2 linked regions of the Saccharomyces cerevisiae S288C genome follow. The protein of the gene in region 1 interacts with the protein of each later gene in a biochemical or structural test. Each region holds a gene or a part of one and is shown on either strand. Other genes may lie near its edges. The genes, in order: COR1 and CYC1.

Region 1 (4,155 bases):
TAGTGAGTCCATCGATGAGCTCTTCACAAGAGGATAAGATGGTTGCGATTGCTGGTATTACCTACCGTGAGAATATTAGCAGTCCATTAGGCAAGAAGTCCAGATGATCGAGAGATGACTTCTCTACCAACAACTTCCCATTTGCATAATATCATTAAATATGTTTTACCAAAAAAAAGTTCATCTTTCTTATTTTTAAAATCGATAGTTCTTCAGGATCTTGGTCACATATATATATATATATATATATACACTTATATAAAATAAGACGTTTATTTAATCTTGTTTTCTTACGAGTTTCTTTTTTTTTCTTTTTTTATTTTCTACTTTTGCAAGGAACAGTGACCTTGCCAATAAATAATGAAGACTACTTGGGTTACTAGAATATAAAATACATGTAAAAAATTCATTTATGGTGTGAGTGTGCGAGCGTGCCTGTATACATCTAGCAGCTTGCTTATTTCTATTTTATGTGCATGGAAAATATATTATCACACATCTTACCATCTCATCATGGACATGTCACTTCTGATTCTCATGTAATCTAATAACCCTTCAATTTGGCCTGTACCAGCAATAGCAATATCTTGGTCCCATAATCTCTTACCGGCCCAAGCCTTAACATCTTTGACTGTGATTGCATCAATTTTCTTGAAAGCCTCACCCAGAGACAGTTTGGAGCCCTTGATTAGGACTTCTGCGCCTAACAAGTTAGCGTCATTGACGGGATTACCAGATTCGTATAACTGCCCTAATTGTAATTTCAACAGCGATTTGGCACGTTCAACTTCAGTATCAGTGACAGAAATGGTCAATCTGTTCCATTGTTTCAAAGTGAAATGGATGAGGTCGTCAATCATGGTAACGTTTCTCGTGGCCGTAGAGAACCCCCATAAACCGGAATCTTTGTAAGAAAGAGAGAAATGATTGAAATTGTCGCATAATTGGTACTCCTGTATGTTGTCTAACAATTTGATACCTTGTAATCTAGAAGCGGGTTCGAAGGCGTTGTATGAGCCGAAAATTTGGGCGGCTAATTTAGCAACAAAATAATTTGGTGAATTGACAGGTTCACCTTCCACAGCCAGCGAAATCCACGCCTTTGGCAAGGTGTCGTCTCTCAATCTAACTTCGGAACCCAAGAAAGCGGCCTTTTTCTTGAGTACGGGCTTGGTACCGGTTTGCAAACTTAGGTTTTTGGATTCGATGGAATTTACTAAATCCTCATGTTTGATATTACCGGTACCAACAACAACAGCATTTGAATTCAAGAAATGGTTATTGGCAAAAGATTCCAGATCAGCAACAACTAAATTCTCCAAGGACTCCAAAGTACCTCTAGTAGGCAAAGATAATGGAGTGTTTTGGAAGGCGGTGGAGTGTAAATGTTCCAAAACTCTGTTGGGATGGTCGTTTTCTTCAAAATCTTGAACTTGCTTCAAGACAGATTTCTTCGTGGCCTCGAAGTTAGAAGAAGATAGCAAATTAGCCTTTTGTTGGATGAAAGACTGATTCAAGAAGTCTAGTGATTTATCGGTAGAACCTGGCAAAGAAGATACAATGTAAGATTGGAAGTCTCTGGAGATATTGGAAGACAATGCCAAACCTTCCTTGGCGGCAACAGCAGAGTTTTCTTTGGATAGAAAGATGTTCTTCCATAAATTGGAAACCCCGTTGTTATAAGGGTTTTCGTTGGCAGCACCGGAGCCGAAGACAACACCGACAGAGGCTGTGTGAGCGGAAGGATTATGCTCAGTGGCTACAACTATACCGTTAGATAATTGCGTTACTTCGGCCTTGGGGGTTGCTACAGCTGTAGCCAAAGACCTCTTGAACTGGTTAGATACAGTCTTTGAAGTTACTGTTCTTAGCATTTTTTTTGTTTATATATCTTGTGTTTTCTTTCTCAGTGATATGGTGACGATGATGTTCTTCTCGTATTATTACTCCACAATTGTCTTGATCAGCAATGGTAGCAATTTAATATTAGGATTCGTTACCTATACGAACAGGGATGATATAATATTTTTTCTGTGAAAGCTATTGCTTTATTATACGCTGTTTTCCTCGAATAAGACGGGGAAAGAGAGTAGGGGAATATCGGTTAGGGAGCGCTGTAGGCCTTTAATTTTCTTGTTTGGTTTTTATTTGGTGCAGCTGACAGCGCGGGCCCTTGAACTTCTGGAGGACAAAAAACACTGTTAATTTATTGGCATTTCATTGGTGCAGAAAGCGTGCTGTCCGGGTCACAGTTAAAGTTCATATACATGTTACCCTACCCAGTCCGGGTTATGTAAATCGTGAAAAAGAATATCTGGTTTTAAAATCTCTCTTTTCTTTTTCCCCCTGGTGGGTATGGGTGAAATGCTAGAGAGGCAAAAAAAAAGGTTGCCAAGTAAAGCGAAGTATTTGAAGTATACTGCAAGCATCACCGAAACAGGAAATCACGAAGCTGACTCATCTGTGATTTTCCGTCCCCACCATAGTGATGTAACATGCAGTAACGCACGGCGGGCCGAAAGTCGGACTTTACCCCAGATTTGTAGTTGTATCCTATTGGATCACGGGCGACGGACAAGACCCGAAGTGCGGACCGGCATGGTCAGCTTGCACGGAAGCTTTAAGGGTTTCCCTTGTTTCGGCATTAGAAGAGGCATTTCGCACGTTTTACCGGGTCAGAAACTTCGAGGAAGCTGTGACAATTGGAAAAAAAGGCAAAACTAAATGCAATGTATCCGGTTGCCCATGCATTATTTGTGATGTTTTCGGATGTAGTTCGCTGCGCTCCGCGGCGATATATCCTCTAGCGAGAGGCATATGTATAAATATATATATATATATCTAACAAAAGCATTCAAGTTTCTTTCTCTGGTGTTACGTCTTTGTTCGACTTTCTCTGCTTACAGCCCTGTATGACCAAAGAAAAAATAAAAAGACAGCTACATACCAGCAGAAATTTTTTATAGTATTACACTATACATCCAAGTTTTTTCACAATTATTTATTGTTTTTCTCACATAGAAAATTCCGCATACTGCGATTATAATGAACTCTACAACCCCATCGATTCAAGATCAATATATTTTGGCCAGCAAAGTACGCTCCAAGCTGGCAAAATGCGTTAGCGTGACTACTAAAAACAAAGACTACAACCTGAGAGTTTTAGTCGGGCACGCAAACTTGCTGGATAAGATTACAGAAAATGTGGAAACTCATAATGCTGCAACCAACGCCCTTGCCGGAGACCCTTTCAGTAAAGGACCTGAAAACTTGTCCATCGAACATATCGAATTGTCCAATGCTAATGCTAGTAAAAATGACGTCGGTAAGGAGGAAAATGCAGAAAAGACGATAGAAAGTGAAGATTACTGTGATTTTTACTCTAGTGACGAAGATCCAGATGCTGACACTCTATCTTCTACTGACAGTGAAGACGATGATGATTATGAAGACTATGATTTTGAGTACGATTACTCTGGCGGTGATTATAACAAGAAAATTGACATGTACTTTAGTTTTCACACCGCACCTAATTATCAATATTTGACTCACACAAACTCTCATTCCGAGCAGACGGATGAACTTGCCGAATCAACGCCGCGCTACAATGCTCTTCCCGCCACTGCCTCTACGACAGAGGAAGAACAGGACACTGAAACGCTCGATGCTGTGAGTTTGCATAGTTCAGCGCCAATCTTCCGTGTGCTCTCTCGGCGGGTAAATGGACAAGAAGATGACAGCGAAAACGAGAGTAGTAGCGATGTCGACGATGGTTCCGTACCATTAACGAGATTTCATTCTTGTCCTATCACAGCATAAATTAAAATGAAGGAAATAACACAACTTCGTTTTGCATTATCATATTCACATCTGCATCCTATTTTTTTTTTCTCATTGTTGTTGTATCATTATTACTAACTAGTGCATCACCACTTGTCTAAATACCAAACGCAAAATATATATATTCTTACTTCATAACGTTCAAAATAAAGTTTTTAGTTTAAAATAAAATAAAATAAAAAAAAAAAAAAAAAAAAAAAAGAACCTTTTGTTTTCGCCCAGTATATGGGTAAATTAACGGTTCCTTTTATTAGTCATTTTCAACTCTATACCATGCTCCAAAACGGCGTTCGGCACAGGTTTTTTATTTTACCA
Region 2 (2,690 bases), on another chromosome or scaffold:
GCAAAAAGGTGATTTTATAACCATATGCGCCAGCCCATATGCTTTTCCAACCGTGGAAGCCTCGCCCGATGAGTTTATTAACAGTATCAGTCGACAACTAAACTGGAATGTGAGGGAACAACAAAAGTCCTTTACGCATATTTTGTCCCAAAAGAACCAAGAAAAATATGCACATGAGGCGAACAAAGTCAGAAATCAAGCAGAACCTTTAGAGGTAATAAGAGATAAATACTCTCTGGAAGCAGACGCTACTAAGGAAAACAACAACGGAAGCGATGATGAGAGCGACGATGAGAGTGTAAACTGCGAAGCTTGCAAATTAAAGCCTTCGAGCGTCCCAAAACCTTCTCAAGCAAGGTTTTCAGTATAATGTTACATGCGTACACGCGTTTGTACAGAAAAAAAAGAAAAATTTGAAATATAAATAACGTTCTTAATACTAACATAACTATTAAAAAAAATAAATAGGGACCTAGACTTCAGGTTGTCTAACTCCTTCCTTTTCGGTTAGAGCGGATGTGGGAGGAGGGCGTGAATGTAAGCGTGACATAACTAATTACATGATATCGACAAAGGAAAAGGGGCCTGTTTACTCACAGGCTTTTTTCAAGTAGGTAATTAAGTCGTTTCTGTCTTTTTCCTTCTTCAACCCACCAAAGGCCATCTTGGTACCAGGAATATATTTCTTTGGGTTAGTCAAGTACTCTGACATGTTATTTTCGTCCCACAACACGTTTTTCTTGATATTGGCATCTGTGTACGAATACCCTTCAGCTTGACCAGAGTGTCTGCCAAAGATACCATGCAAGTTTGGACCAACCTTATGTGGGCCACCCTTTTCCACGGTGTGGCATTGTAGACATCTAGTCTTGAAAAGTGTAGCACCTTTCTTAGCAGAACCGGCCTTGAATTCAGTCATTATTAATTTAGTGTGTGTATTTGTGTTTGTGTGTCTATAGAAGTATAGTAATTTATGCTGCAAAGGTCCTAATGTATAAGGAAAGAATATTTAGAGAAAAGAAGAAAACAAGAGTTTTATATACATACAGAGCACATGCATGCCATATGATCATGTGTCGTCGCACACATATATATATGCCTGTATGTGTCAGCACTAAAGTTGCCTGGCCATCCACGCTATATATACACGCCTGGCGGATCTGCTCGAGGATTGCCTACGCGTGGGCTTGATCCACCAACCAACGCTCGCCAAATGAACTGGCGCTTTGGTCTTCTGCCATCGTCCGTAAACCCCGGCCAAAGAGACCGGAAAGATCGGTGAAAACATCTTGATCTTGCTCCCGGGAATTTTAGATTCAGGTAGGAAATTGATTACATCAATACTGTTACCCTGAATCATATTCGACGATGTCGTCTCACACGGAAATATAATTCATTTCTTGGTTTTCCAAAAAAATTTTCATTTTTTTTCACTTTTTTGTTTCGTCCTCCTTTTTTTTTTTTTTTTTTTATTTTTTTTCCTGTGTTCACCTTTTTTTTTTTCAGTTGACATCTTTCTGCATTCTTTTCTGTGTTTTTTTTTTTTTTTTTCGTTTTTCCATTGTTCGTTCGTTGCCTGTTTTTTCGCCCTATTGTTCTCGAGCCTAAAAATTTTTTCCTTTCCTGCTTTCCTTTCTTCGTTCAAAGTTTCCTATTCCATTGTTCTCTTTGGTAAACTCATTGTTGTCGGAACTCAGATATATTCAGGTCAATTTACTGTACTTCAATTGACTTTTTTCTTGAAATTTCAACTTGCCTTTTCAACTTGTTCTTCTTTTTTAATCTTATTCTACACTTTAGTTCCCTTACCTTGTTCCTAATTATTGTCTAGCAAAAAGAAAACATACACCTATTTCATTCACACACTAAAACATGTCTGACGAAGAACACACCTTTGAAAATGCTGACGCTGGTGCCTCCGCCACCTACCCAATGCAATGTTCTGCCTTGAGAAAGAATGGTTTCGTTGTCATCAAAGGTAGACCATGTAAGATTGTCGACATGTCCACTTCCAAGACCGGTAAGCACGGTCACGCCAAGGTCCATTTGGTTACCCTTGATATCTTCACTGGTAAGAAGTTGGAAGATTTGTCTCCATCCACTCACAACTTGGAAGTTCCATTTGTCAAGAGAAGCGAATACCAATTGTTGGATATTGATGATGGCTACTTGTCCTTGATGACCATGGACGGTGAAACCAAAGACGATGTCAAGGCACCAGAAGGTGAATTGGGTGACAGCATGCAAGCTGCTTTCGATGAAGGTAAGGATTTGATGGTCACTATCATTTCTGCCATGGGTGAAGAAGCTGCCATCTCCTTCAAGGAAGCTCCAAGATCTGATTAGATATTTTAGATTTCTATAGCTTACAAAATACGCGATGTTTTTTTGATCTAGAAATCTTATTTATACATTTTATATAATATTATAATAATCATAATCATAATTATTCATCCTAACTAACTTCGTTCTGTTTCAGCTACGAAGTTGCCTTCATTATCGCTACGTTCGTGTTAATTGGTGTTTGATACCATAGTCACTTATGACGACGTGCAGAACTTTTTTTTTTGACGGATATTTTCCCCTCAATATGCCGAGGATGATTACTTTATAATTTGCCTTCTTTCGGTTCCTTCTTCTTTTTAATTTAGCTGACGGGAACATGTGTATATACCCCAGAAGAATTTAAA

The links.
Region 2: the proteins of COR1 (region 1) and CYC1 are reported together in a solved structure, tested with the Saccharomyces cerevisiae proteins (one study listed by BioGRID).

What each region holds. Positions count from the first base shown.
Region 1 is NC_001134.8:133,643-137,797, forward strand, and holds COR1 (ubiquinol--cytochrome-c reductase subunit COR1), read right to left. Parts: upstream 1,875-4,155; coding exon 501-1,874; downstream 1-500. Other genes in the region: PSY4 (Psy4p), read left to right, coding at 1-107; YBL044W (uncharacterized protein), read left to right, coding at 2,356-2,724; ECM13 (Ecm13p), read left to right, coding at 3,046-3,819. UniProt on the Saccharomyces cerevisiae protein: Component of the ubiquinol-cytochrome c oxidoreductase, a multisubunit transmembrane complex that is part of the mitochondrial electron transport chain which drives oxidative phosphorylation.
Region 2 is NC_001142.9:524,564-527,253, reverse strand, and holds CYC1 (cytochrome c), read right to left. Parts: upstream 920-2,690; coding exon 590-919; downstream 1-589. Other genes in the region: UTR1 (NADH/NAD(+) kinase), read left to right, coding at 1-370; ANB1 (translation elongation factor eIF-5A), read left to right, coding at 1,873-2,346.